Linked DNA regions of Styela clava. The protein of the gene in region 3 binds, or shares a complex with, the protein of the main gene of each other region. Links are inferred from orthologs where the notes say so. Each region holds a gene or a part of one and is shown on either strand. Other genes may lie near its edges.

Evidence for each region.
Region 1: DNA-directed RNA polymerase I subunit RPA2-like (region 3) and RNA polymerase I-specific transcription initiation factor RRN3-like share a complex: the UniProt entries of both Homo sapiens proteins name them as parts of the pol I pre-initiation complex. The link is inferred for Styela clava from reciprocal best matches to the Homo sapiens genes POLR1B and RRN3.
Region 2: DNA-directed RNA polymerase I subunit RPA2-like (region 3) and DNA-directed RNA polymerase I subunit RPA12-like share a complex: the UniProt entries of both Homo sapiens proteins name them as parts of the pol I pre-initiation complex. The link is inferred for Styela clava from reciprocal best matches to the Homo sapiens genes POLR1B and POLR1H.

What each region holds. Positions count from the first base shown.
Region 1 is NC_135259.1:10,556,785-10,568,520, forward strand, and holds RNA polymerase I-specific transcription initiation factor RRN3-like, read right to left. Parts: upstream 4,738-11,736; 5' UTR 4,671-4,737; coding exon 2,952-4,670; 3' UTR 2,948-2,951; downstream 1-2,947. Other genes in the region: serine/threonine-protein phosphatase 6 catalytic subunit, read right to left, coding at 940-1,857; 17S U2 SnRNP complex component HTATSF1-like, read right to left, coding at 5,829-7,397. UniProt on the Homo sapiens protein: Required for efficient transcription initiation by RNA polymerase I (Pol I). Required for the formation of the competent pre-initiation complex (PIC).
Region 2 is NC_135256.1:9,244,309-9,253,740, forward strand, and holds DNA-directed RNA polymerase I subunit RPA12-like, read left to right. Parts: upstream 1-6,887; coding exon 6,888-7,250; downstream 7,251-9,432. Other genes in the region: spermidine synthase-like, read left to right, coding at 7,842-7,972, 8,214-8,334, 8,884-8,976. UniProt on the Homo sapiens protein: Core component of RNA polymerase I (Pol I), a DNA-dependent RNA polymerase which synthesizes ribosomal RNA precursors using the four ribonucleoside triphosphates as substrates. Can mediate Pol I proofreading of the nascent RNA transcript.
Region 3 is NC_135261.1:7,949,326-7,960,849, forward strand, and holds the start of DNA-directed RNA polymerase I subunit RPA2-like, read left to right. Parts: upstream 1-6,915; 5' UTR 6,916-6,925; coding exon 6,926-10,369; 3' UTR 10,370-11,524. Other genes in the region: uncharacterized protein LOC120329666, read left to right, coding at 254-310. UniProt on the Homo sapiens protein: Catalytic core component of RNA polymerase I (Pol I), a DNA-dependent RNA polymerase which synthesizes ribosomal RNA precursors using the four ribonucleoside triphosphates as substrates.

The DNA.
Region 1 (11,736 bases), on a different chromosome or scaffold from region 3:
TTTGTAAATATATTGTGAGAAATCTTAGGACTTTTAATTCAATAATATTACCATACTTAACAATTACAAAAGTTGTTTAATCAGTCAAGATTCATAGGAAAATCATAACTCTGATGATAAGCTTGAAGATAAATAAGCAAAGTATGATTAAAAACAATACTAAATCAATATTCAGTTGTTATAACAAATAATACCAGGACTGAGAAGTTACTGGTAATGTATATTCGATAATTTAGCGAAGCATGGAAATAAAGCTTTGAGGAATTTTTTTTTCTGTCAAAACATCAGACAGAAATTGGCGAACTGCATTGAAACTGACCAACTCTCGCTGAATAAATGAAAACAATCATAATAAAAACTTTGCACTCGCGTCTGTGAAGTTCCACTTTCAATTATCAATTTCGGGAATTACCGTAGCTTTGATATTTTGATCAAAGACAGAAAAACAATGTCATAAATTTTCTTTCAAGCATGGACATTGTGGAGTGTTCAGCGAATTAATGAGCAAGATGAAAGAGAACCTAATAACATAACAATATTTCTTATGTGAAAAAGATAATAATTTCAATGTATATGATGATGAACTTTTTATAAAAAATCCAGAGTTATCAAAGGAAAACACACTGTAACTTTGACTTATACAATCATATTCATGCTGCCAATAGATAAAGGGCAGCTGGTTTGCTAGCCATCCACTTGAAACATATATAACGAGTTGTATAAGTAATATACTCATATATACATGTTCAAGCGGTTCCAAAATTTATCACTTTGGGGTCTTCAAGTGCATTACAAAGTACATCCTTGGATCTATATATTATCCTTTGGGTATTGTCTATCATCATAAAAACGCCAGAGTAAACTGAAGTGCACTCTGCTAGGTTGATATGGAATGTCAACCAATAATATTCATACTGAGATGTGACAGACGAAATCACATTATAAAAAGTAAGGTGCAGTGTTCCTGGGAGGTATCACACGCATATTATCTGGAACAGCCCTGAAGAGTTTGGCTTCTCTGTCATCAGGCGTACGAACAAGCAAAATGGAAGCTATATTTCCACATCTATAACAGTAGTTAGGTGCAGACCAGACAGTGACCAATTTCTCATCGAACATATACTTGTACCCTTCATGTACAAGTTGATGAGCACGACAAATCAATTTCAGGTTGTTGAGATGAACGAATTCGTTGGTCACTTTAGATCCAAAAAGCCAGCCGGCACCTCTTGGACTTATTGCCCATGTTTCCACATCTTCAGGGTCAGACCATACAAGATCACAGAACGCTCCTTTGTGAGGAATCTCTTGCTGCCTATCGATGGTGCGAATCTGATCCATGGTTTTCACATCTGGAGATAAACCACCATGTACGCACAAAATACATGAATCAATAATAGCTGCAACTGTGAGAAGGTCAAAAACTTTGGTGCAGTAACGCCAAGCATTAGCATTTCCATATTTCATTTGGCATTCATCATAGAAACCATAAACTTGCGTGATCTGTCTGCTTTCATGATTTCCACGGAGAAGAGTAATCTTGTCTGGCCATTTTGCTTTCAGGGTTAATAGATATGTGAATGTTTCCAAACTGAAGTATCCACGATCGACAAAATCACCCATAAAAATGTAGTTGGTTTCTGGCACCTCTCCGCCAGTCCGGAACAGTTCTAATAAATCATAAAACTGTCCATGAATATCCCCACAAACAGTCACAGGTGAAGAGACAGGTTGAACATTGGATTCTTCAAGTAGAAGGTCACAGACATAATCACATAATTTTTTCAAATCATTTTCTGGAAGATATTTACAATTCTTTTCAATTTCAATCATACGATCCAGGTCCAAGGGTCCCATGATAAAACCTAAAAACATAATAAACTGTAGTGTCTTTATCTAAATGCAATTGGCAGACGAAATATGAATGATAGTATAAATTCACAGAAGACACGTTATCAAGTTATGTATAGTATCTGTGATATAGATACAGTCGTAAACATCAATTTTGAAATGCTGTATATGCCATATAAATAATCGAGGCGGTGGAGTCAGTATGGCCATTTTAAACTCACAGCAATTTTGAGCAAAATTATAAATTTGGAGAGTCAAGATCTCAGACTTTTAATAAAAGTAATAGGAGACAAAACTTTCCTCAGTTTTTCGGTTCGCTGGCAGAGTCAAAGTTCTTGTTAAAAATCAATCAAAGACTTTTCAGAAGCCTTGGAGTTCCCTTGACTCCATCTCCACAGCATTTCAAATAAGAAGTATTTATCCTGATCATATCAAAGTTATCAGTATTTAATATAATTGAACGAGAAACTTACCTGGTCTGTTATAAAAAGCTTCTAGAAAAAGCTAGAAATACTAAAATTAATTCAATTTTTATAGTGTCTGCAAAAAAAAAAGTTGTACAATGATTTGGCAGGAAAAAATGCAACAAACATTAGTAATTATGTGATTGAAATCTCAAACTGTATCAGAAAACAAAAAGAACCTAATGAGAGCAATAGGAGAGAAATAAGAAAACAAAAAGATAGTTAGTTCATAACAGGCACATAATGATCATCAACATTGGCAGCAGAAAAGAAACAATGAATGTATCAACACAAAAAATTATCACGAATAAATCTACTTATGATTTTGTATTTAAAAAATCAGAAATTTTGACGTGTTATTTCTGGTCTGAACAAATATTTTGACAATACAACTAATGGTACCAGTTCCGTTATTAAAATTGTACTTAGAATCAAATCCCAACCTTATTTCAAAGATTGGGTTGAAAGACTGCTTTTTTCTCACTTCAAAAAATATAAGTATTATAAATTTTGTAGAAATAAGATTTTCTTTGGATGCATGTACAGGAATACTTGTTTCGTAGTTCTGACTTGTATAAAACAAAATTCCATCAAAGTAAAAGGATAGGAGTTGACTAAATGTGTCTTTTAGCTCCCTTAGAACGATGACTTGTTCAATAATGAAAATCCAGGAGACATTGACTTTCCACTGATTGAGTCAATAAAATGTTTATCTTGAGAGAATATACTTGGAATAGAAATAGGGCTTGCACTCATCAGCTCATTATCAATATGATGATCTTCATCTCTCGATTCATCTTTGAGCTCTGGTACGCGGCCTTCCCACTCTTGGTATATTTCTTCAATCATATGACTTGAACTCTTAAGCAAATATGGATCAAAAGGAAAAAAGCAATCAAGTGGGTTAACCGAAGCAGAGTTTTTTGATTGACCACACACAGGTAAAGTCATTCTGTTGTTTCTTTCTATTATTGTGTCACAATAGACAAGTTGATGTTGTCTCATTAGTGAAGAAAACATACCAACCACAGTGCTTATGCAAAATTTCAATGGATTCAGACGGCTCATAATAATATGTTCTAAATTGAATTTGCGCATTATTTCAAATCCTTTTGGAAGGTCTAATATCTGTTTATGCCTGAATATAATAATATAAAATACAGCTTGGCACGCACTATAAAATGCTCCGTGGCGTACAGTTTCATGTAGAGGTCCGATATAGTCGTATAAACCTTCTCTCTCTTTGATATAGCAATGTATCCATACAGTCATCGCATTTAGTATTGTCAGTACAGAATTCAAATGTAGATATTTTGCCCTTGCAAGAAAGCTAGCTATATATGACAATGACGTCTGTCGTAATATCATAGGTGCACTTGGATCTTGAACCTTTCTCCATAAATGGTTGAGAAAAGTCTCAGAAAATGATTTTTCAAAACTGCAGATATAAAAAATTAGGAATTGAATATGACTGCTATCATGAATTGGAAGAATCACTTTGTCAAAAATGGAGACTAATTCTTTTAATAGAGTGTCTGCTTGGAGTGATAACTCCCCATTTGAATAACAAATATCATGTATGAACTGAAGTAGAGTTTCCATCACAATATCCAATTTGTCAACAAAACCCTCTTTTTTCATTGAATTATCAGTTTCCATTTCAAATAGATCATGTTCTTCAGTAGTCATTGATTTCTTTATAGATTCTCTTGGACAGTGTGTATCTAGTTTTAAGGATTTACTTATGATAAGTTCCAAGATTTGCGGTCGCAAGTTAACCCGGTATGTAGTCAGAAAAAGCAAATTCTTGATGTACCAATCCAATGCTTCTTTGTCCTTTTTTATAAAGGGATAATGTGAAACTAAAAGTGGCAAAACTATGTTAGTTGTCAATGGTATAAGGGTAAAAATTTTCTTTAATGTGCCATGGATAATATGAAATATTTCTTCCTGGGGTACACAAGTCTCACACGATGTGAGATTAGACAAGCAAGATGCAGGAATAAAATGAGTAATAAGACAGTTCAAAACTTGGAGTTGGTGGACAGAATTGGCAGCAACAAGTTCAAGTAGAAATTTCTGAAATAATTCGATTACTTCTTTTTCTCGATTGACCCATCTTATGCTCAGCATTCGATGAACTAATTTCTTTTGATCCTGATCAAGGATATTAACAATGTCAATAAATTGTTTCAACATTTCACTGAGATGACTTGATTTGATTAATGGGTCTTCTATTTGTTGTACAATCAGCATGTAATTCTCAGGAATTCCACATTTATTTTCTTCTATAACATCAGCTAGATGTCCACCGAATCGCACAGACTTTTTACCGGAGCTCTTCATATCAGTCATTATTCAAAAACTTAGATTGTACAATATATCAAATATGAAGTATAATCTGGAAAAAAATATTAAGAAATTATATAAGAAGTACATGGATAATTGAAATTCAATTTATAATATTCTGGACTGTTTACGTTTTAAGGGACAACTTCACATATTCGGTAATCATTATCAAAAATGCGGTGATATTATCCACATAAATACAGAGCAAAGTTATTTGAAATCCATGGTCACATCATCCACTCAGCAAGCATAACATTGCAGTCGTAATTTGTATCTGAAAATGGAACTTAAAGAAATACACAACAAAATCGCAACCTAAAAATTAAATCTAATAGTAACATTTCTGAATTTTAAGCAGTATAGATTTCTGGTAATAGTATTCAAAAATCAAATTTCATAATGTATATTTCATTAAATATCAAAACAATATATTATTTTTCAATTATTGTGCCAAAGTTGTTTGTTTGAATCTATAATATACATCATACTATAGTGCTCTAGCAATAAAGCCATAATATGGCTGTTTGCTCTAAGCAAACAATAATGAATAGCCTAAAAACTTTGTATGTAGACAATTGTATTTTCAAAGAATTGCAACAGATTTACTCAAGAGGTAACCGTATCACTGGTGATAATAAAGGCAGAGCCATTTCATTAAGAACAGTCAACCCAGGTGACAAAGTTCAAAAACAAAAACAAGAAAATCTGTATGAAACATTACATTACCGAATGACTTGAAGGATTGTGAGAAATGAATAATGAGAAATGTTAATCTACTAGTTGTGATTAATTTGTACAATTTCTCCACAAAGAAATAACTCAATATGTTAAATTACTTGGCAATAAAGAATTCATAGAATAGACTTTGCAACATGGATATTGATGTGATTTTGCACGAAATAGATGTCACATTGATATCTTGAATGTCTTTGCATTTTGATAAAGATAACAATGGCCTTCAAACTTTTGAAATATGATTATGGTATGTTTTGAAATGAACCAGATTGATAGTTCACTGATCAGTCACAACAGCTGCTTTAACAATTTGAGTCAGCAGATCGAACTACGACACAATATTTCAAGCAGCATATATCAGCTATCTTCCATACCCTTATGTGACGAAGTGAAGTTACATTTTCATTCAACGAAGAACATTATACAACCTCATGATTCAGCTTCACTTTTCACTTCGGAATTTTCTCCTTCCTCCATATTTTCCTTTTTATTATCCTCAACAAGAAATTTCTCCCAGTTTTTTATTCGAACTTCTCTTTCTTTATCAGTCTCTTCGATTTGATAGTCCGTAACACCATCCCACGGATCAACAGAAATTTTTCTTTTTGCAAACCATCTTTCATTCATTGCATCCCTACATTTTGTAGCTTCATCAAAATCTTTAAATGAAACGGAACAGACTCCTTGAGGATGGCGATCAAATACAAGAACCTTTTTCACATCCCCAAATTTTTCGCACTCTTTGCGAAGATCGTCTCTTATTTCTGTAATAAGTACAGCATCTTCTTCAAATTCTTTAGGATCGAACATATTTTTAAATATTAGTACTCTTTCACTTTTTTTTACAGCGTCTTTTCTTGCTAGTTTCCAGTCAAGTAGCCTTTCTTGTTCTTTGTGAAGTCGTGCTTTTTCCTTTTTGCTCAGCATTTTTGGTTTTTTTGATGGATCATAAGATCCCTTGAGTTCAAAACTTGCTTTTTGTACATGAATTCTGTATCCCCCACGCACTAAAGTATCATCTAATAATTGCATTGCCAAATCTAACGATTCTTTTTTTAAATAACAACATAAGCCATCACCTTTTAAATTACCCTCCTTGTCTTTATACAACTTCAGTTTGGGTTTACCGGTATGAGGATTTGGCATTATGATTCCACACTTTGACATGATAGAACCAAACTCTTCTAAACTTACATCTGGTGGTAAGCCACTAACATAAACATTTGTGTTTTTATCTTCCGTAACTTTAAACCAGGTAGGATCAGACGCTTTCCTTTTGGTGTCTTTCTTTGTATTTTCTTTTTTATTTTTAACTTTTTTCTCTGCCACCCATTCTTGTTTATTTTCATCCCAATTGTAAATCACTCCAGTCTTAGGATCAGTGTATGATGTCGTAGTAAAATTTCCATGCCCAGAAGGATACATAACCTGACCATCCTCTGAAACCCAAAGTTGTTTTTCATAATCCCATTTATAAAGTATTCCCGTGTTCGAATCTGTATATGTATGTTCAGTCTTACTATCATTTTGCGACTCGTTTGTACTAGTAGACTCATTATTACTGTCTTTGTTAGTTGAATCGCCATTTAGTTCTTTTGAAAGTTCTAAATCCCATTTGCCTTGGTCACTGTTCCATACATAAATAACCCCATTTGGATCTGTATATTTGCAAGGCTCTCCATTTTCATTATGTTCTGGTTCCCATTTTGAAGTTTCAGAGTTGAAATGAAAAGTTACTTTGGTTACAGGATCTGTGTAAGAAGTGAATTTATGTGATGAATCTACTTCTGTTCCAGCGTCATAATTCTCTTGATATTTCATCATCAATTCGACACTTAATTTAGGAAACCAAGCCTTTTTCTTTTCGTCCCACTCATACTCCGTTCCATCTTCATCAACTTTGACCTTTGCACCCCCGCCTTCTTCCAGAGTATTTTCTTCTTTCTGAAGTTCTATCTGTCTCTGAAATTCCTCGTATGTTTCAGGATTCATTGCCATGACTGCGTTGATTGATTGTACAAGTTATGTAATTCAGGGTAATCTAAATATATGATAAAGAAGCATTTGTAGGTTATATATATTGAAACATTATCTGTAAAGGGGCCAGCATAAATACTGACCAAAACGGATGTGATCCGCAGAATTATAGACAATATTTCAATTTTAAAAAATCTATTGAATCATTTATCCATCACATACTCGATATAAAAAAATATGACAAAAAGCTTCAATATATTGTTTTATAACCGAGGATGTCACTTCCAATTCATTCTGCTCCTAAGTCCTAAGAACAAATAAATGATCCGGGTTTATGCTTTTAATTTACCTATGGGAAATTTTCTTTATTCTTAAAATTATATCTTATCAACATATTTTGTTTTCAGGCTGAAAGTTTAATGCTATAACTATGGGAAATGAAATATACCGGTAACTATTTTTTTTATTTTTAAATTATATTTCAGCAGCATATTTTTTTTTCGGGCTTCCAGGAAGATATTTCAGCAGTAGATTAATAGTCTATAAAATTATATGAACAAATGTATAGAAGCTAGATTTGATGTATATTGGCAGCAGTTGAAAAGATATAAATGGTAACAATTTCATGAGTTTTTATGTATATTCATAGCAATACAGGTATTAAATTCATAATCCCAAACAGTGTTGATTGTTCTATGACATAATAGATAAGGTATAATAGCTTAAAGGAAATGAATGTATATAAAGGCCAAGCAAGTCATATAAAAATAACAAAATGAGTGAACGGCATATAGGCTACCCAGGTGAAATATATTCATAAATTATGCAAGACGTCATAAGCATTGTAATTAGCGATCACTGATTGATCAAAGTCAATTAATTTTAGCCAACTAGCAGCAGAGAGATTCTCTCGAGATTTGGGATCACCTTTCAAAAAAATTAAGGGTTTACGACCAGCTTTATCTAACACCTTCAGATATGAATTGACATGGGAATACGTGGACTGATAAAAACCTGGTATATCGCATGCAAGAAAATGTAAACGTGGACAATTGGACATTAAAACTTTTACACAAGAAACAACAAATCTAGATGGCTCTAATAAAGATGATTGAGATTTTAAGATCAATTTCTCAAGATGCTGACAAGTGCAAATTGAATCTAGCAAACGTTTGGTGATCAATAACAAGTCATGGTTTAAGCGTAATTCATTCAAATTCGGTAAATTCTTCAATACATTTCCCAAAATCCTTGGATATTCACATAGCGATCCTTCTCCTACATGACACAATGTTAATGAAACCAATTTATAATTGTTCATGAAAATTGTGGAAATTTTGTGTACATTGTTCAAGTGTATATTCATTAGAGATAGAACTTGAAGATTTTGTAGTTCACCAATGCATTTTAAGGTTGCGATATCATAAACAGTATTCAAATGTCCCATCAGCTCCAATTTTCTGAGATTTGAACAGGTTTGGAGTGTTAGAGCAAAATCAGTGGTGATTTTAACTTCTGGACGAGTTCTTGAAATTCTCATACCTCTGGTACTACTTGACTTGTCAATTTCTTTGCTCGTGGTCCCAGAAATTTGATCTTCGGTCATATTTGGCAAAGTAATTGATAATGCATTCAATTTGGGCATGCTTTTGACAGACGTGGCAAGTAGATTAAAATGTACTAATAGTCCTTTCAAATTGAGTTCTTCAACATTTTGGAACCTCGAAAAATTACACCAAAACATGTCAGAAATAGTAAAAACTGAACCTATATCATCTTCAAGATCTTTAAACCCAATATTTAAGTATCGAAGCTTTGGATAAACGCAATCATGCAGAAGAGCGTGTATAACATCACCATAACAATTCTTACACAGAGTACAAATTTTAAAATCTACATTCAGGTATTCAAGGTTAGGCAAAACTGAAGGTGTATTTGCTTTACGACAAGGATGATCAGTGTCATATGGAATACCCCGCACAGTTGGAAGTATTAAATTCTTTAAATTTTCTAGTTTTATCAGTCCGTTGTTAGCAGCAAACCCATTTTCATCATAGTGAAGATTGGCATCGGAAAGCATTCGACAAATGCTTCCAATGTTATTATAATTTACAAAATCAATCACATAAGAATACATTAGCCTTGTTGTTGCATACGGTGAAAGATGATAATCCATGATAAAATTTTTCTGTTTTTCAGGTATATCAAATGAAACAGAACTTGCATATTTTAATGCGAACAATTCAAAAAGTATTGATACATAAATAATTATGTTTGCTTCACCACATACATCAATATGCAGGGTGTCTAACTTTATATTTAATTTTTGAACGTTCAACCTATATAGCTCCCGTATATCTTCGACATAAGAGGATATTACCAAGCTCTTTACATTTGGCGTTTTGCACAAAACAGATTTCAACTGAATGGGAGTTAGAATGCATCCTCTCAAATCCAACGATCGAAGAGCTAGTAAATTTGAAAACTTTCCAAACATTGATGATGGAAACCAATGACAATTATGAAAGGATAATTTTCGAAGCCATGACTTCGCATTTCTCAAAATTTGTAAGCATAATCGGTCGGACATAAAGATACAATTTTCAAAGTTTAATGAGAATGTCAACATTCGATCAGAGCAAAAAGAATGAAACTGTTTGTTTACAAACTGAATATTTTTCATTCGATCCTCAAGAGAAACATCTCGCAGTATCTTGATCCATATTTCATTCGGCAATTCACAAAATATGTTTGACATGAAGCTGTGAGGTTCTTTTACAGTACTGCAGTATTAATTTATTCTATATCTAGACATTCACGACAAAAAGGACATAAAAAATGGATATTGTTTATTTGTAGCTAGATGGTTTATTCAAATACTCCATAATATTTACAGATTTAAAATGGAGACTTCTGGAGGGCAAGCAAAACCTTTAAAAAAGTTTAAAACATGAGAAACGAGAATATCGATCGTAGACCTAAGACTTATCGATCTTAGATCGGTAATTAGTTAATAACTCGCTAATTATACGACATAATTAACCCAAAATCAATAGGCTTCTGGTCCGAGATATGATGTATGCACATGCAAAATTTGGAGCAGATTCAACCTCGCGTTCGCGAGATATCGCGTTCATCTAACAGACACATACACAGACAGACAGACATACATACATACAGACATAAATACCTATCAATATACTTACGGATCTTAAGATCGATAAGTAATAATGAAATATCATGGGCCCGCCCACCAACACACAGACAAAAATAAATTACAAAAGACACAAACCTAGTTAAAACGAGGCTTGGGCCAGAAATAATCAAACAGAAGATACCAAAATGTGTACTGGTATAGAAACTTCCGGGCTGTTATACTTTTGAAACACCTAAGCTATTGCAGTAATAATGACCTATTCGATACGGTATGCCAGCAATACGCTGTTAAGAAATGTTTACCGGTATTGTAGCGATACATATAAAAAAGCACTCAATTCAGCAATTTAATGCTTGACAGGGGCTTTGCATGAAAGAGAACACTGATTTTATATCTAATTACTGCAGTACTGAATTAGGTACAATCTGACCAAATGCTGATGTGCGGTAGCTTTTCCGGCTTTTATTAGTGGTAGTAACACTAACACATAATACAGTACTACTATTTTAATAAACTACAGGCAGACAGAAGTACTCCCTCATTAGTAGGCTAATCGTGTTTTGATCCAGTTTCTGTCACACAATAATTAAGTTATCGACTCCAGCATCTAATTTTCTTTTGCTTGCATGTATTTTACCACTAGTCTGCTAGTATTGTCAAAAAATTATCTAATGGGTTACCATTTCAAATCCTTTAAACGGAATTAATTCTATTCCGAATGGTATAGAAAGAAATTTGCCAACAACAACTCGATCGTAATTAAAACTGTAAAGTTACAACTGTTACGTTTCGGCCCGGCATCACATTTATCTGTGTTATAATAGTAATGTTAGCAGAGCTGTCTGTCATTCATGATCAAACTTTGGCATTATACGCAAAACAATAAGCGTTATCATGAAATATAAGAATATGGTTATAGGTTTAACAAAATTCTTCATCAATGAGAAACTTGCTGCATCTTATCGTTTTTATAATCCTGGGATCATGTTGTGCAGTTTTCAGCATTGCATACACTTAAACCCTGAAACAGCTTATTGTTAGATTGATTAAGGTCAGTTCTATCATTTTTATACCTAAAATATTGGTTTGTTCTTCGCATTGATTCGTGACTTGGTGGGTCACCAAAATAGGACAGTGGGTCACGCGGGTTAGTGGTTCGCCATCTCTGTTACATATAATTACCAATAATTATTCGATTCAGTT
Region 2 (9,432 bases), on a different chromosome or scaffold from region 3:
ATGAAATAGAGCTTGCCTAATAATAGCGACCATAATGCAATCGTGATAAATACGTCTGTGTGTCCGCTATGGATGTAGTTTCTTACCTCAATAACTTCTAGTTAACTTAGCGTAACAATTGTTGCATATAATATTCCTGACCCTCACCTGACTTCATGTTCCAAAAATTACGTCAATGCGACTTCACAATAATGAAATAGAGCTTGCCTAATAATAGCGACCATAATGCAATCGTGATAAATACGTCTGTGTGTCCGCTATGGATGTAGTTTCTTACCTCAATAACTTCTAGTTAACTTAGCGTAACAATTTTTGCATATAATATTTATGACCTTCACATGACTTCGTCATCCAAAAATTACGTCACGGCAACGTCACAATAACGAAATAGAGCTTGCTCAATAATAGCGACGTTATTCGTAATGGCACCTATGGATGTAGTTTCCTACCTCAATAACTTCTAGTTAACTTGGCGTAACAATTTTTGCATATATCATTCCTGACCCCCACCTGACTTCGTCATTCAAAAATTACGCCACTGCAACGTCACAATAACGAAATAACGCTTGCCCAATATTAGCGACGATTACTAGCAATGCCACCTATGGATGTAGTTTTTTACCTCAATAACTTATACTTATCTTAGCGTAACAATTTTTGCATATATCATTCCTGACCTTGCCCTGACTTCGTCATCTAAAAATTACGTCAATGCGAATTCACAATAACGAAATAGAGCTTGCCTAATAATAGCGACCATAATGCAATCGTGTTAAATACGCCTGTCTGTCCGCTATGGGTGTAGTTTCATACCTCAATACCTTCTATTAGGCTTAGCGTAACAATTTTTGTATATATGATTCCTGACCCTCACCTGACTTCGTCATCCAAAAATTACGTCACTGCATCCTCCCAATCACGAACTAGAGCTTGCCTAATAATAGCGACGATAATAAAGCCGTAATAATGGCGCTATGAGTGTATTTTTTTACCACACAACTAAAGCCTTGTTATTTGATGTCCTTCCGTACGTCATGTATTCGTCCTACCTTTATTCATAAGACGTGAAACAATGTTAAGATCCTTCAAATGTTAATACCACTACAATGTTTCCAGACCTTTTTCATCTTGCGGTTCACTAACAGCGAAATATTAAGAAAAATGTTTTCTGTTCTCATACCGATCTTTGAACACTCGCTCGCTAAAATTGGTTAACAGAAATTTGACATAGTGGAGGAAGTGGTATAGTATTTGATCTCCAAGTAATTCAGGGGAAATGTGAAAAAGGATGAAAGAAGACCATATTTATAGGCTCTTCAATTTTCTAACTGTTGAAATTTGGAATGGATTCGACTTCAAGCGCAATCGATAATTAAGCATTCGTTCACAATCCTGAGTTAATTTCCAGGATGCATCTCTCATCTATCTGTCGTTACGTTTGTTACGATATTTGTATTAGTGTTTTTTGTCAAACCTGTGCATCATAATGACGCACAACCTGAACCATAACCTGTTACAATACTATGTTCAGGTTGTGCGCAATCTTGGTGCACAAACTACGCAAGCACCAAATTTACTAGGAAATAAAATCGATACCTTCTAGGTATTTGTTGAGCCCAGCTTTGGGTCGCGACCCATATACAGTATATGGAAATACTGTCGAAACATACGCGTAAAATAAAGAGTACTATTTCAAAATACCCGTTTTTTGTTGCAATTAACAGTACAAGCCTGCTAATGTAGTCGCCAGTGGTTCAAGTGGATATACACCCGGTGGAGAACAGTCAATTATTTGTTGGCGAGAATTGTTATGCAGCGGGATGATCACGACGACGCAGTGAAAGATAATGATATCACGAGAACAAGAATGAGAAAATTGCTACATTTTATAGTATATCCCTGGGAAAGAATGTAGTTCATTCTTATGTTCCATGCCAATGCTTTTCAAACTACCAAAGACTCTCAACACTTTTGCTTCTTCTCTTCTATAAAAATACATTGTTATTATATATTCGCATTTCCATCTGTTTGTTCGTGCTCCCAGATAACCGATCAGCGCCTCCAAGGAGGACGGGGTCCCCTTTCATGAAACCCTGTCATAAACTAAAAGAGGCGATCGTGCTTCTCTTGCCTGTTGTCATGCTGTCCCTGGAATTCAGCTACAACAAAAATTTCACGAAAACGGATTTTTAAATTTTATGATTTCAATAATATTCTCAACAATGAATGATATACGGGTGGTAAAATGCCAAGTTATTCCAACAACATGATCATGTTTTGCAATTTACAACCAATATTTTGTATGTAACTTTGTTTGACAGAGCCCCAAGAGCTCTAACTACAAATTTCAAAAATGTGAGGCTAAAATAGTCACACTACAACATTGTCAAATGTGCTGTATTTACGATAGATAACAGGTTTACCAAAAAGAATTACATGCAAAATGGTAAAATAAAGATCAATTCAGCAATATCTACTTGGTGATATTCATCTGTTGATGATTTTATGTGTTTGTTTCGGAAGTTTAATAACAGAAGTAATTGTGGTTGTTGGGGATGTTTTAAAAAAGGTTGCATGGAAAAAAGTTTTCACAAAATGTCAAGGTTTGATAGTAGTAGAGAAGTAGAAAAAATACTTCCATGTTTTTTTTTATTTGATAACCACGCCACAGAACTTCCCCGATAAGTATACGCAGCAATTGCGAGAGGCAGAAATGCTAAGATGGGATTTCATCGCATTATAAACCAATATTAGCAATTCTTATATATATTCGCGCATTCCCAGCTGAACAGCGTGAAAAAGATTGTACCCATCTACACACTTTAAGAACTATGTCAGATGAGCGTCATATTATCGAATATCAGTAAAGGAATAGTGCAAAGGGAAAAGACATATAAGGCGAAACTTTCAGTAGTATGCAATCAAATAATCTTATTGTAGAATATATATTTAAAAACATTTCGTCACGCCAACTGCAGTCCGAAACTTTTTGTCTCTGGCTGAGCTTAGATACCAATTGGCACTCATGTAAACTGGTAAGACTGTAAGAGGCACGCGATGGAGCAGATACTAAGAGTATCCATCCCCCAGCTGTCATTTGAGTGGGTACTGCTGTTTTTATTGCAGATGTTACGGATCTTTTTGTATTAAAGATTTACTGGCATCACCGATTTAAGGATGTTGGAAACCAACCCGCAATATTACAAAACTTACTTCCAACACGCGGTTTGAATGAATGAAAAAGCTGAAACTAGTATTCTTTAGAACAGCATACAAATTCTATGGAATGAAATCATACACAAAAGCTCGTCAAAAACCTATAGCTCAATAATCAAATGGAATTTGATGCATGTGCGCAAAAATGTGCTCGTTACCACGTATAACCGAAGCACGCAGGAATATGCGTGTGATGTACTAGTATTCAAAACGTTTGACTCAACTATGTTGGCATAACAGGTGCACATCTCGGTTTCGCATACGCATACCTTCTATCTCCACAAGGATATATTAATTTTGCCAAAGTCAATGCAGCACTGAAAAGTTGCGGTTCTTCCAAAAGAAAACACGTTACACATCTTTAGATACCAGTGGATGGTATTACATGGCCTTGTTCGGAGTGAAAGACGAGGTCAAATATTCCAATCCAATTCAACTAATAAAATATTTCCCAAGTCCCTAAGCTTAAACTAGGAAAACGAAATGCCAGATGTAGTTTGAAGAGCGCAATAGAAAGTGGATAGATGCTGTCGATGGATCTTGGTTTGTATTAGTGAAATAAACTACCATTTATTCTACTAAAATTGAATTTCTGACATTGTAAGGAGATTCAATGTTACTATGTATGCAAACCTAAACCATGTAGTTATGAAATAATTGTTTTTAACAAAAAGGCGCTCTTGAAGTATTTGTACCAAGATGGCGCACAACCTGAACACTGTATGGTTACCAGGTTAGGGTTCAGAATGTGCGTCATCTTGGACCGAATACTTTAAATCCACCTATAAAAAAAAATTGCTCAAGATTACTCCACACCCACCTGGGTATCATTATATATGTCATATACATTATATCTAAACAATAAAAAAAAACTTTATGTTCCAAAACAATGTTAAGGCCCGATTCTGCCGGACTATCTTATCCAAAATGTATAGTTTACAAAAAACAAATTAAAATATAAACCTCACTGATAAATGGTGGCAAAATACACCCATATAATGTGCACGTAAATTAATATGTCCGTTTCTGCTTGTCTGAAGCCCTGCTTAGAGTGATATCGCGTAACGTCATATTAATATATTGTAGCCCAATACATGATCTATGGCTGGACATAAAATAACAAGTCCCTCCTTATGTGTGTGTGGTAGGGAGGCCGCTGCCCTCGCTGAGTTTGTTAACGTAGTCGCAGACGCCATTACGGGTGATCAGCTCTATTTTGTTACTGTGACGTCGCATTGGCGTAATTTTTTGATGACGAAGTCAGGTGAAGGTCATGAATATTATATGCGAAAATTGTTACGCTAAGCCTAATAGAAGGTATTGAGGTATGAAACTACACCCATAGCGAACAGACAGGCGTATTTAACACGATTGCATTATGGTCGCTATTATTAGGCAAGCTCTATTTCGTTATTGTGAATTCGCATTGACGTAATTTTTAGATGACGAAGTCAGGGCAAGGTCAGGAATGATATATGCAATAATTGTTACGCTAAGATAAGTATAAGTCATTGAGGTAAGAAACTACATCCATAGGTGGCATAAATAGTAATCGTCGCTATTATTGAGCAAGCTCTATTTCGTTATTGTGACGTTGCAGTGACGTAATTTTTGGATGACGAAGTCAGGTGAAGGTCATGAATATTATATGCAAAAATTGTTACGCTAAGTTAACTAGAAGTTATTGAGGTAAGAAACTACATCCATAGCGGACACACAGACGTATTTATCACGATTGCATTATGGTCGCTATTATTAGGCAAGCTCTATTTCGTTATTGTGAAGTCGCATTGACGTAATTTTTGGAACATGAAGTTAGGTGAGGGTCAGGAATAATATATGCAATAATTGGTACGCTAAGATAAGTATAAGTTATTGAGGTAAGAAACTACATCCATAGGTGGCATTAATAGTAATCGTCGCTATTATTGAGCAAGCTCTATTTCGTTATTGTGACGTTGCCGTGACGTAATTTTTGGATGACGAAGTCAGGTGAAGGTCAGGACTATTATATGCAATAATTGTTACGCTAAGATAAGTATAAGTTATTGAGGTAAGAAACTACATCCATAGCGGACACACAGGCGTATTTATCACGATTGCATTATGGTCGCTATTATTAGGCAAGCACTATTTCGTTATTGTGAAGTCGCATTGACGTAATTTTTGGAACATGAAGTCAGGTGAGGGTCAGGACTATTATATGCAATAATTGTTACGCTAAGATAAGTATAAGTTATTGAGGTAAGAAACTACATCCATAGCGGACACACAGGCGTATTTATCACGATTGCATTATGGTCGCTATTATTGGGCAAGCTCGATTTCGTTATTGTGACATCGCATTGACGTAATTTTTGGATGACGAAGTCAGGTGAGGGTCAGGAATGATATATGCAAAAATTGTTACGCTAAGATAAGTATGAGTTATCGAGGTAAGAAACTACATTCATTGCGCTAAGGCAAATTAATGTGTCGGTTTCTGCTTGTCTAAAGCCTTGCATAGAGTGAAAGCGTTCCACGTCCTATTAATAAAATGTGGCCCAATACATGATCAGTCTCTGGATATTAAATAACAAGTCTTTATGTCTGCGGCACCTAACCTCAATCATTGCGTGAATTAAATGTTCTTTCTGTTTGTCTAAAGCCTAGCTCAGAGCGGTATCGTATATCACCCTATTAATAGATCGTAGCACAATACATGAGCTATTGCTGGACATAAAATAATAAGTCTTTATGTGTGTGGTACCCAACTTCAACCATCGCGTAAAATAACATGTATTTTCTGCTTGTCTAAAGCCTTGGTTAGAGTTGTATGGTATAACGCTCTATTTTAGATTGTAGCACGATACATGAGCTATTGATGGATAGAAATTGGTCAGAATGGGATATCGTGAACGTTCCTCGGCGACAATTTAGTCGCTTGTGATTCTTGTGTTTATTTTGAGCTCTGTACAACGACCCCGATAAGAGAGAGGTCGCTGACGTATTGAGTTTGTTGACATACTCGTAGGCGCCATCACGGGTGACCGTCGCTATACTTTGGCAAGCTGTATTTCGTTATTGTGACGTCGCAGTGACGTAATTTTTGGATGACGTCATCAGATAGGGGTCAGGAATCATATATCCAAAAATTGTTACGCCACGCCCACTAGAAGTTATTCAGGTAAGAAAGTACATGAGACCCACACTTATTGAGTTTGCCACTTGCTACACTTTAAAGATTATTTCGTCTTTCCAGAATTAGGTTTGCTTTTTTTTGTATATTCATGGGGGTTACTTGAGTCCCTGAAATGTTTCATGTTGCCACTTGCCACTTTAAAGGATAGGATATGATTTACATATTTATCCCGAGGGAGAGGAAAGCCGATAAAACGACTTAATCATATGGCGAACCACCGCCTCTCGTTCGGTTACCAGTCCATCGGGTCTTACGAGGGCACAACAAAATTTGCTATTGCAGTATTGGTTGTATGCAGTTTACAATTTTCCCAACCATGGCATAAATGTTAGCATAAATAATCCTTACGAGTGGAGGGCAACTCGCCATGGCTGCATGGTGGCTAACTCATAACCATCCTCCCTACTGCCTCTCAGTCTCGCATCCTTAATGCGAAATTTCAACAATGTTTTTATACAGGTATTTAGCTCTGTTCTGTAATTAGAAAAATATGAATAAATGTATGACAACAGAAGATGGTTTTTGTTCAAAATGTGGAGCCATTTTACCACTGCCTGTTGATTCTATGCAATCATACATTACTTGCATCTGTAAGTCAAGAATTCCATGTTCAGAGTTTAATAATATGATTGTAGCTAAAGCTGATATAATACTAAATGAAATTAGAGGCAAATCTACAAAGAAAAAGGCAAGGGATGACAAATCTTCTGGTCCTAAGTTAGAAAGACTATGTGGACATTGCGGGCATAATGAAATGACATACAAAACTCAACAAACTCGATCAGCAGATGAAGGAATGACCATATTTTATTATTGCTTGAAATGTGGATCATTAGAAAAGGAAGATTCGTAGAGATTCAATAATAATGCATATGAAAATGTGTGTCTGGATGCCACAGACTGGAAAATTTATGATGAGTGCGGGGAAAGATAAGATGCTGTTGCAGTTATACTGTGTTTATTTTTATCGATGTGTCAAGTTCATGCATCGGGAATGAATAATTGGTTGACTATTTTCATTCCCAAATCCCAACATAGATTGGAACCTAAATGAGAGAGTGGTTATATTAAGATGTATTATAGACTTTCCTCTTGCTGAGTAAAATATTGAAATCATATCCTAATTCTATTAATGTAATAATGAGTTCTGATTCAATTGAGGAGACTGCTACTAATTTTTTTAGTGTACACTGATACATAAGCATAGCTATTCATTTTGCTGTGAATACAGCACTGTGAATCTTGTTTTAAAATACAAGACTTTGACTGGACTCTGTTTTGTTTTCTTGCTATACAACTGATGGTAAAAAAATTTCAATCGAATTATAAAAAATAGGAGTGTTTAGGAGAGTTATCATGAACAAAAAATTTTTTCAATTTAATTCAGTTATAGTTTAATGCTTAAATATTACCTACAATTGAAAAATACTTTGAATACTTCAATATGGCACTTATTCAGGATGGATGGTTTCGTGAAGTGAATAAGTTTTGGCCAGGCCAATGCATGTCATTAAAAGTGGAAAAAATTTTATTTCACGAAAAATCTGAATTTCAAGATGTTCTTATTTTTAAGAGGTAACTTCATTTTTAATGTAGAATAGTTTTTGTGTTTGCTAAGGCATATGCCACTCACTGCATTAATTATATAAGGCAAGAAATAGTATTCCCGTTATATAGTATATATTTTAAAGTTGAAAACATATTTGTCTTATTTTTTACGCATTTACGCAAAAATGAGCTAAAATTCTGATACCTTGCTGCCTTGTGGTACTAAATTACTGCATATGCATTTTTTAAAGTAAAAATCTGGTTTCAGCACAGATCATGGAAATGTTCTTGTTCTCGATGGTGTTATCCAATGTACAGAAAGAGATGAATTTTCTTACCAAGAAATGATTACACATGTGCCATTGTGCAGCCATCCTAATCCGGAAAATGTTGGTATTTTACTTGATTTTTTCTTCAGATATTTTATGGTAAAAATATAAAACATAAGTTGAAAGGTATCTGACTTTGCTATAATACATCTTTGTCAAGTATGCATCATCAGAATTTTAGTCACCCCAGGACCGGTGAGCCGAAGCGGTAACATTCGTTAGAGCCAAGCTTTTCATAATGAATATACCTGGAACTACAAGAAGTTGTAATGCCTCCATTCAATTATAAATTTTTATTTTAGTATTCTTATACTTATTCAAACCATGAATCTATTCTTTTCGGATTATGCTTTTTCAAATTTAATTTATAATATTAATTAAAAGTTTCCAGGTTGAATTTGTTATTTAAAAGTTCAGTTTTAAAATTTGAAAGGCTTAGGCTATATCATAGTTTTGAGAAAACCTTAATGGCTTGGAGCCCAGCTCTGAAGTAAGCAATGAAGTCTTATAGTCAGATCTGGGGCCACAATTTCAATTCAGTGTGTGCTGGTCTCAGCACTGTCAGTCTATGTAATGCACTCACTCCTTCATGGTTTATATTGTTTGCAGGTTCTTGTTATTGGAGGAGGAGATGGAGGTGTTGTTAGAGAGATTTTGAAGCATGACTGCGTAAAAACTGTAACACAGTGTGAAATTGATGGGGTCTGTTTTTTTTTTTTTTTTGAGAATATATGCATATCTTATTAAGACTGAGGGATTTTTTTTTTAGGGCAAAAGCTTTTTTTATATAAAAGCAGTATTGATCACATAACCACAATGTTCAATAATCAATCTTGCAATGTGAAAATATTATGTTACATATTTCCACCTGTCTCCTATTTTTGTAAGAATCTTGTTAATTAAGAGCTGGATCAGAGTCAGATCATTTGTGGATTCACAAGCTATTAAATTTTGTATCAAAACAAGAGAGTTGATGCTCAAATATTTGGACAAAGGGGCCAAAACAAAGCAATATTAAATGTTTTACAATACCGGTAGTCTGACCACCAGATCACTGAGATATGGTCATGGAGCCTTGGTACGCAATTTTTAATTTTGATGATGTCATCACTCATCATTCAAACTTTGAAGTGAAAAACAAAATGCCACAAAGTCCAC
Region 3 (11,524 bases):
AAACTTTTTTGAAGCCTTTTTTGTCACCTTACCAAACAATTATTTCACTCTGGGATTGTAAAATAGCTTGCCTGACATGTCAATTTGGAAATCAAATGAAATGAGTATTAAAAGGTTTATAGCTTTATTCAGTCGATTCCAAAATATTTTTGTCTGATTGAATGCGTACATTACCTTACGGTACAGACTCCCAAAATTTATCTTATAGTAACATATATGAATATATAACGTTATGATATCGTTTTCTTTTCAGGAGCCTGAAGCCCAACAAGCTCAACAAGAAGCCGTCGTCGAGCAGAAAGTAGAATGAATTGTTTGTAAAGAGGAAGACTATTGAAAAATAATATATATTTTTGAACATTTCTTGAATTTGAGTAATATGACTCATAGAGAACGGTAAATTCCATTCCAATGTGTTAAAATGAATCATGCCTGGAATATGATACTAAAATGAGAGTAATGTAATAAACCCCTAGATATATATTTAGCTTAATAAAAATGTCGAAAGGGATGCAAAATACTTTTCACTTGGAACACAGTTTAATATGCTTTAAAGGTGAGACGAAACTACCAAAATGTCAATTTCTTAAAATATTTTTACTCGTTCTGATTTACTGCAAAATGCTATTGTGAAGTTTGTGTAGTTTCGGAATAATTCTCCCAATTGATTTTTGATTATAACCGTCCATGACAATCAAGTTGATTTTAAATTAGATGTGTATCTGTACTTAAACGTTTCCCTGAATTAAGCATAAAATTCACGAAAAGGTTGTTTTATGTGATTTAATCATGCAGATATTTTTTTCATTGATCCGGATATCTCACCTTCCCGTATATATTGTGATTTTTGCAGTTTTTTATATAAAACCATAGAATTTTATTTTCCTGGTATTCTTTTTAATTTTTTTGCTTCTCATTTCTGTTTATAAATAAAAAGGTTTCTGTCTTTTTTTTATGATTAACTCGTTTAAATGGTAATACAACAGTTTGAACACATATTACAAGACAGTCATAAAATTTTTGCAAAACGGGCATGCCGGCATGCATATCAAGTCAAGTAAAGTTTATTTTTTCCAACCAGTAAAAAGAACACTTTCTCCTCTGTATGTATTTCCTTCCTTAGTCAAAGGTCAAGTCTGTCACTGACTCATGGTGAATTTCACGATGTAAAATAGACGGAATATGACCGCGGATATGGGCCTTGATTTTCTAGGGTTGAATCAAATATTGTTTTGAAATTTACCTTGCGTATGACAAACAACGAATTTTTTTGTAACCATCCGGTGTTGTTTTGATGTTTAGGTAATATAAAAAAGTCTACATGGTAAACTTCCGTCTTAACTTTTGATAAAATCTAACAGTATAGTAGTCCATGATAGAAAAAATAGGTATGGGCCATTGCAAATACGGCTCAATATCAAGAAAAATGAGTCTCATTCGCTAATTTCCTTGTATCGTTACGTGCTTTGAACGCCGTCTTCGATTATTTTTATTAAATTTATAAAAGTGGATATATATATAATGGTTTTTCTATTTACAATATTTGAGGAATTTGCTTCAGGGTGTTGTTATAAATATGGTAAATAATCTATTTTGCAGTCGATAATGCAGCTTACAAGACCCGCGGGCAATTCAAAACAGACGAATAGAAAATACATAATATAGACAAGCAGTGTTACCTATAAGTCGGTTAACTTTTTGCTAACCTTCTCCGAAGCCGGAACCTTTTTTATTTACCCTCTAAATGAGACCCAAATCAATAAGAGTACCACTTGGTCAGCGTGGCCATTTCCAGAACCGACCCTTAAATAGTGCATGATTATATACTCTGGACTACAGACTGGAAAATATTTTCCTATGTATAACCATGACAATATGTTATATCAAGATTGGGTACTCCCGTAGGATGTGTAGGTTAAGATCAGGCCATAAATTTATTCCGATTTTATTTTTATTTCAGTTATATTACGAGTTCGGGAATTGTCTGGGTCAGCCAGGTGAAACCGTATACCCCGTCCCCCTACCCATAGGCACCGTTCCTTTACACAACTTATTGTAAAGTAAGCGAACAAAATTAGTTACCTCTACATTGGTACACACACTTCTGGAGCGCGCAAGAATGTTATACGCTTTTATCAATTCTTTTCAATGACAAATGAGATACGTGCGTGGAGAGAAAGCCGATAAGTAAATGTAATCAAATGGAAAAAGACACTAACCCAGTCAAAAGACGTAACGGCGAGCGCCGATCTGTGTATGAGCATTATCCAAAACCTCATTTAATTAAAAAATCTTCAAAACATCCTTCCATAACAAACGATATGGCACTCAAATGTTAATCCCCATATAAAATTTGTGTTAGTGTCTGATCGAAATGGGTAAATCCGAATAATTTATCATATATATATAGTAAAAGTGGAATAACTAATTACATGCAAACAATCTTAATTTGAAAAAAAGGTACTCAAATGTTCAATCAGATAATTTGTAAAAATAGGGAATACTGCTGATAACGAACCTTTCGAGAACTTTAATTACATAGTTGATACCAAAATCCATAAATATTCGTTTGTCTATTCATAGTCGGTCTACATTCGAATTTTTACTATTGTATATTGTTCCGTCAGAAATTTTTAGGACAATGATTCGAATGTCAAAACCAATTATTAGGTTTGTATTTTCTTTAAAAAATTTACACCGATGCCAAAATAAATACATAGTTAAATTTATTCACAACAATAAATTTTTTTAGTGGACGGATATCAAAGATATGCCATGGAATTGAATATATTTTGCAGCTTACTAAATCACGCTTCGACGACCGGTGCATTGTACTCGGGAAAGGGCGTGCTATCAGTCTCCCTGATTGCCATATCCTGTTCGCATCCCATGTGTTAAGTGTCGGAGGATTGCTGGCCTTGCTTTTGTAGTTTGGCTCATATCACTGCTGGTCGGTTACGGATACATCTCTCACCATGACTATTCGTTTTGAAGAAAAAAACTGCGGACAGGGAACAAATTCTTTGTAATCCACAAACGAACTCATTTCAATGCATAAACACAAAAATTGATTTATTTCGTAACAATGGTTGTTGTACGGGCTTTTTTTTTGTAGCAAGTAGTGTAAGTAACGTGTTTCCCCGAAATTAAGACCTACCCTGAAAATAAGACTTATTCAATAACGCGAATATTTTTTTTGACCTAGTCGTTAGCATGAAATCTCTCCCACAAATGGTTTGAATGAATCAAACACGTTTGATATAATCTATGTTTGGCGGTTCTTTTGAATAAAAACGTGTTATTTATAAGGAAATATAATTTTGTAATTTCGATTTTGATAAATAAAAATATAAGACATTCCCCCAAAATGAGCCCTAGTGTTATTTTTCAAAAGAAAACTGTAAGTAAGGCCCAGTCTTATTTTCGGGGAAACACGGTAAGTGAAAGCACATGTTAGTTCGTGAGGTTCACTAGTCAAACGTTTTAACAAGTAGTTGTAATTAGCGCTTCAGTTCAGTTTGATATTCAAAATTTGGCATTAAAATGGCTGGAAAACGTAGAAAAGTTTGCGAAGAGGGCAAAGTGCTTGGACGGAAAATATTTCTTTGTTGAACATTATTCAAAACTTATCTGCTTCACCAGCATCGTAGTTACGATATGTACTGCGGATATCATCAAAGTTGCCAGTTGATTTTTTAACACTTTGGCCATCACACAGAATTAACATAATCCTTCACACTAATGAGGTAAACAAAAGCAATATAAATTTTGAATGATGATACCGAGAAAACAGCCACGTACACGTCTCAATGAGATTTGAGATATGCGTTAAACACATGAATAGAAGTTGCGGGTGCGGAATAAAGTTTTATGTGATTGTTTGTTTACAGGCGGAAACTAATGCGCCACGCATACTACCAGTAATGTGTATATTTGGCCCAGTAGTACTTCAAGTTTGCTGACCGCCGCTTCGGTATTCAGTATGTTCGTATGTTTCCCCGCTTTTTATTTTAGGAGAGGGAGTTCCAAATTTGGGTGGTGATAGATATTTATTTGACTGATCCTCTTCACCGGCATATAAGCCACTTCCTAAATATTCAAATACATTTTTATTTACGTTGAGAATTAAAGTAAGGTGTCACACCTGATATTTAGCGGAGTTGAAATTTGGGGGGTAGGGAAATCACTGCCGCCGCCCTACATAAACTGTCAACCAAACCGGAATTCTTGACTGTTACCATGGATTGCAATTTTGGGTAAAATATTGGATGTCACATGGCTCAGGAATTATAAAAAGAAGTACCGCTAATAGCATTCTATTGACATTTTGGAGAAAAGCGATAAAAAAGTCTGTAATTACCGGTATACAAAAAATAGAAGAATACGACGATTTTGAGGACAATGGAGTGAAACACAAAACAAAAGAAAGAAAAATACGGGTCGTTTACTTTTTAACATTACAGAGCTATTTTTTAAAAGCAATGTGAAAATAATTGAACCAATGAATGATCAATATTCAAAAATGAGAGTCAAGTGGAAGAACATGGCGCGGCGGTGTGGCTCAACGGGCTAAGCGTTAGGAATACGCTCGCCACCGCACCTCTAATTACTCTGCGTGGGTTCGCAGGTTCGAATCCCATGCAGGGATGGTTATGTGCGAGAGGATTGGTGGACTCCTCGCCGTCGTTGGGTGGTTCACGTAACCGCTGGTCGGTTACGGCTTCCTCCACCACCAAGTCCAACAAACAATACAGTAAAACTAATCCCATACCCGACTTGGAATGGTAACCGGACGAGAGGCCGTGGTTCGCCATATGGATAAGCCGTCTTATCGGCTTTCTTCTCCCCCGGGATAAATATGTAAATCCTATTCTATCCTAACATGCGTCAATCAATATAATTGAACTTATCATAAACATTAGATTAAGTTTAAGTCACTAAAATGCAACTACGGTACTACGGTATTTTCTATATTTAGGTTAGTGAACACGTAGCACTTCGAATTTAAATTCTGTGCGCTATGAATCCCATTTTGGGTTTTGTTTGCTCTCCTTATTCTATAATCAGTTTTCATTTATTTATTTTTATAAACAATTTTATCGTCTGTTGTGCCAATAACTTTGTTTCGTGTTATGGTTGTGCTAATGATGGAGTCGAAATAAACTACGCCGAACTATCCTGCATGTTGACCTGAGACATGAAAATCGCAGCCTACCTCTGTGATAAAAGTCGTTGGGAAGTACGTAGCTGCAGATGACAGATGCAGATGGACTGCCAACAGGGGATAAAATAAAACACTGGTTCATGAATGAACCAGGTATATGTGTTATGTGTGAATGTAATATTGAAGAGACTTTATGTCATTTATTTTTGGAATGTCAATGGGCTGTTGATTTCTGGCAATGGTGCTGCGTAGAAAATAATCGAATTACTATTTTAGCAAATGATTCGGAATGCAAATCTAAATTAATCACAATATTATGCGGAAAATCAACAATTTGGGAATATAGAAATTCAGTAAAATATGATGAAATAGTTAAAAGTAAAAGCAGTATGCGCTCAATATTCAAATGTAAACTGATAGGAGTTTTAAATTTAATGAAAACAAGTGAAAGAAATGATTTACTATTGTATGAACATATGGATGATCTCATACATAGGTCAATCATGATGTGACATGACATTGACATTTTCTATGCAACACCAACTTAAATGGATAGTACATGAAAAGATTCCAATGTCCAAATTTATGCATCATTTTGATTTAATTCATACATAGATAGTGAATAGAGAAATGCCAAAAAACCCACTTTGGCTGTTTTCTGATTTTCTGTCTAATTTTCTAATTTCCATGCAAAAACTAACTAAATCGATTAATTATTGGTAACTATATATAAAATGTGTGCACGAATTGGATGACGACTGATAATATGGATAAACCTATATTCAATGGATATAAATTGGACTATATATGATACAAAACTCCGGTAATGGTATGGTTTTATATTTTAATTGTTACATATATTATTGAACTTGTGGGCAATGTGTTTTGAAATTATGAAATTGTTTTAATTGGGTGCAAATTATACTAATTCGACAATAAAATTAATATACGAAAATTCCGTTTGGCATTGGAATTTATTTGGCAAAAAAAAAAAAAAAATGGAATTTATTTGGCAAAAAAAAAAAAAAAAGCTGCAGATGACATTAAAGCGGACAAAACCATAAGTAAGGTTTTAAACGTACACATGTTAGATTGAAAGGTGTTGTCGAAAGAAGTCAGGAAGTGGTAAGTTACGTCTGTACGTGCCCGCTCACCCAAAAGTATTACCGGTACCGGTAACCAACAAATGAATTATTGGAAGTCCCTGGATTATATGGAATATTATATCTGATGGAATTATCTTGATATTACTGATATACGGTATATGTTTGTTCACTTGCGGTACACAATATATCTTTATTTATATTTAATTTATTTATTATTTACATATTGAATAATCCACATTGTGGATCCATTTAAAAAAAAAAAAAAGTATTAATTTAAATAAAACACACACACACATACCTGCATACTGCAGTAGTCTACTGACTGTATTCTGTTGATCACTAACTGACAAAACTTATTACCGAATATAGGTCAGATATTTAGAAAAATTGGGTTGAACTGGGGTTAGTCGGGTCAGTACGATTAGTCTTAAATTTGACTTGAGAAACAAGGAAGCGAGAAATAGTAGAGCTGTCAGGCTGTACAGTTCCACATTCAGACCATACCGGTACTGCATTAAAATATAACTTAACTAGGCCTATAATTTATTTGACTGTTTATGCTCTAATGATTTCTGCTAGTAGCGTCGTTTAGAATTGTTCCAAAATTTATCAGACTTCAAAAATATTTATATCTTTTATCATTAGATTTAACATCATGTCTAGAATAAGTTTGGAATCCAAACTTCCATCAAGTACCACTCCATCTTTGAAGAATTTAACTGTGAAAGATTTTTCTAAACTTGGAGAAAGTCAAACGGAGGCTTTACAAGCTTTAACCAGACCTCATGTCGATTCTTTCAACTGGTTTTTAAATACTGGTATCAAATACTCGGCCAGACTTATTCCTCCCATTCAAGCTCTTGTCCAAAATCGTCGTTTCTCTGTTCAATTCGTGGATGCAACTATCGAGAAACCACGTGTTGATGAAGGGTTTCGTAATTGTCGAACATTAGCTGTATATCCATCAGAATGTCGACAGCGTGGGTCAACATATCACGCTAAACTTCACGCTACCTTTTCGTATTCTATTGATGGAATAAAACAAGCGAATATTCCTGTCATGCTTGGTGTTATTCCAATAATGGTGAAATCAAATTCATGCAATTTGAGTGGGTTAACTCCTAAACAATTAGTTGCAAAACAAGAAGAAGCAGAAGAAATGGGTGGATATTTTATTGTGAATGGAAACGAGAAAGTTCTCCGTATGTTAGTAATGCAAAGACGTAACTTTCCTCTTGGTGTTGTCAGACATTCATGGAAAAACAGAGGCCCGAACTATACAGAATTTGGCATTATGATGAGAAGCGTGTCTCCAGATTTGAATGTTGCCAATATGGTTGTTCACTACTTGCGAAATGGCACTGTAAACATTTGTATTTTTCATCGCAAAGAAATGTTCTACATTCCACTGATATTTATGCTTAAATGCCTCGTTGATAAATCTGATGTTGAAATATATAAAGAACTAACAAAAACCAAGGAAGATGACACATATTTCAAAACGTGCATTCAAAATATGCTCCGACAAGCAAAATCACTTAATCTACATTTGCATAAAGATTTCACAAAGTACGTTGGAGGAAAATTTCGTATTAAACTAAGTCAGCCGCCTTGGACAACCGACGCTGAAATAACGAAGTATTTATTGCAACACAACGTTCTTGTTCACTTGAAAAACAATGAAGATAAGTTTCATTTACTTTGTCACATGGCTCAAAAAGTATTCGATCTTGCTATGAAAAAATGTGTCCCAGATAATTTGGATTCGGTCCAAAACCAAGAGGTGCTTTTACCTGGCCATTTATATCAAATGGTTTTGCGTGAGAAAATGGTTCTATGGCTTCTTACTCTATCTAGGCTTATTGAAAAGCAATCTAAGCTGAGTAAAAATCAAGGTCTGTCAATGCTAACGTCATCTGCAATACAAAAAGCAATGAGATCTGTACCTGAAGTATCCAATGCTATGTCCTACCTTCTCGCTACTGGAAACGTCACAACAAAATCAGGTTTGGGTCTTCAGCAAACCACTGGACTAGCTGTCGTTGCAGACAAGCTCAATTTTATGCGCTACATATCACATTTTAGATGCTTACATAGAGGATCGTTTTTTGCGGAAATGCAAACTACTGAAGTCAGAAAATTACTCCCCGAATCATGGGGCTTTTTGTGTCCTGTACATACTCCCGATGGGTCTCCTTGTGGTTTAATGAATCATTTAGCGTACATGTGTGAAGTGGTGACAAATCGTACATCAAATGCTGCTATTGTACCGATGCTATATAATTTTGGTATGATAGGGCCAGATTCATGTCAAGTAAAAGGTCCTAATTATTACCCAGTTTTACTAGATGGGCTTTTAGTGGGATGGCTATCAAAAAAACTAGCGAAACCCGTAGCGGATATTTTGAGAACTAAGAAATCAAATGGGGAAGATAAAATACCGAACACCCTTGAAATTTGCCTGATTGAAAGAACTGAGAAAATATCACAATTTCCTGCTCTTTTCCTATTAACAGACGTAGCACGTATGGTCCGACCAGTGTTGAATTTAGAGACAGGAAACGTGGAAATGATCGGATCATTTGAACAGCCATACATGGATATTTGTATCATTCCTGAAGAAGCACATGAGCATACAACACATCAGGAACTTGTTCAAAATTCTACACTTAGTGCTGTAGCGAGCATGACACCGTATTCTGATTTCAATCAATCCCCCAGGAATATGTACCAATGTCAGATGGGTAAACAGACCATGGGAACACCATGTCAAGCGTTGTCTTACAGAGCTGATAATAAATTATACAGAATTCAAACTCCACAATCGCCTATGGTGCGACCATACATGTACGATCATTTTAAAATGGATAATTTTCCTTTTGGAACGAATGCAGTGGTTGCTGTCATCAGTTATACTGGATTTGATATGGAAGATGCCATGATCTTGAATAAAGCTAGTTTTGACCGTGGTTTTGCATATGGTTCTATTTATAAAGGTGATCTTATTGATTTGGTTAAAATAGTAAATGACATTTCAGTTAAAGTTACATTCGGAACTTTGCCATCTGATAAAATTTCTGCGGAATTGGTGAAGACTGGAAAATTAGGAGCTGATGGTTTACCAGCAGTTGGCCAAAAGCTTGTTTACGGAGATCCCTATTACAGCTACGTGAATGCCGGTACTAAAACATTTCATCTTCAAGTTTACAAAGGACAAGAAACAGCATATGTTGATAACATCAAGGTTTTGAGCAATAACATAGGAACAGGATTGTTCAAAAGGGTGTATATAATTTTACGAATAACACGCAACCCGATTATTGGAGATAAATTTGCAAGTCGTCACGGCCAGAAAGGTATCTGTTCCCAACTTTGGCCCGCTGAAAGCGTTCCTTTTACAGAATCTGGTTTATTTCCTGATATCATATTCAATCCCCATGGATTTCCATCTCGTATGACAATCGGAATGATGATAGAATCTATGGCTGGAAAAGCAGCGGCTATGCACGGTGAACCATATGATGCCACACCATTTTCATTTTCAGAAAACGATTCAGCTATTGACCATTTCGGTAAAACCTTACGAAAAGCAGGGTTCAATTATTACGGTACTGAAAGAATGTATAGTGGCGTTTCCGGCCTTGAACTAGAAGCGGATATATTTATTGGAATTGTTTATTATCAAAGACTGAGACATATGGTATCTGACAAATTTCAAGTTCGTACAACTGGCCCCGTTGATCAAATGACGCAACAGCCTGTACAAGGCCGAAAACGTGCTGGCGGAATCAGGTTTGGTGAAATGGAGAGAGATGCATTGGCCGCACATGGCTGTGCTATATTAAACTATGACAGGCTTTTATTATCATCGGATCAAACATGGGGCCATTTATGTGAGAAATGTGGCAGCATACTATCGCCTATTTTAGAGCGAGATTTGAACAAAGGCCGTCTTTATGGGCTCGGTCGCAAAACATGGAAATGTTTGACGTGTGGTTCATCAGATAATGTTGTTTTAGTTGATATTCCATCAGTGTATAGATACTTAGTCAACGAACTAGCAGCGATGAACATCAAAACTGTGATACCTTCTCGGTAAAAGGATAAAAGTGTGGCCAACAGCCACAGGCAACAATTGTCTCATTAACAGAAGTCATCCTATAATGTGTTTTTCATTAAATATTCTGTAAATACAGCTGTACAATGGGATTCAGTGATTAGCAATCAAGTTTGATTACAATAATCATTTAGTTTTCCTCTGTTCCACTGCCATATTATTTGTGACCTATCGTATGTCAACCAAATTTTTTTTTTTTTTTTAAAAAAGTGACTCAAATTTACATACCCAAATTTTGGGTAGGAAAATTTTCATTGTTTTCATTATTTCAAATTAGGCCTATTAATCAAATCATGTTTGTGTCCATGTTCAGGCTTCAATTATTTTGAACTAAGCAGTATAAATATAAATATAAAACTTTCTGGAAATTTTTAAATAGAATTTCATTTTGAGTTCTCAATATTTAATTGCCATGTTTCTATAGCAAGTCATATTAATGTATAAATTTCAATCAACTTTTGGCCTTCATTTTAGGTTAAATTTTCTTCTGCTATAGTTTACTTGCATTCGATTTCTAATCAACAGGAAAGCCAGCTGTTATTTCAATATGTTTTTCAAGTTTTGTTCAACCTATGTTTACGAAGTGAACTTTGTCCTGTTTACGAAGTGAACTTTTGAGGTGTAAATATGACATGTGAAAATATGTCATCACTTTCTATTTGAACAGTAATTTCATTACTTGCTTGCATAGGTGTTTACCGAAAGTGCTTATATGTACCTATTATAAATATTAAATGATAAAACTGAAAGACTGTTAGTTCTTTAAAATAGAGACAACATAACCTAATTAATGTATTTGGCACTTTTGATGAGTTTAGCACATCATTGCTAATAACTTCAGCTAACTTTCTTGTTGTATTATTTGAATACTGTTCAGTATGGACTTTCTAATATGTAACTTCCTTGTTGTATTATTTGAATACTGTTCGGTTTGGACTTTCTAATATGTAAAGTGCCACAAAACCTCTAAAATATACCTCAATGTAGGTTGTTTGTTCCTGGCTCTATTCCTATTTTGAGGCTACATTTTCCGGTAATTTCATCTTTATTATTAAGCTGATTTACATATGTAATGTTTTATTTGAAAGGTTTGCATAATAGTAATAATAATTGAGATGGTTTGGGCCGCCAACCGGT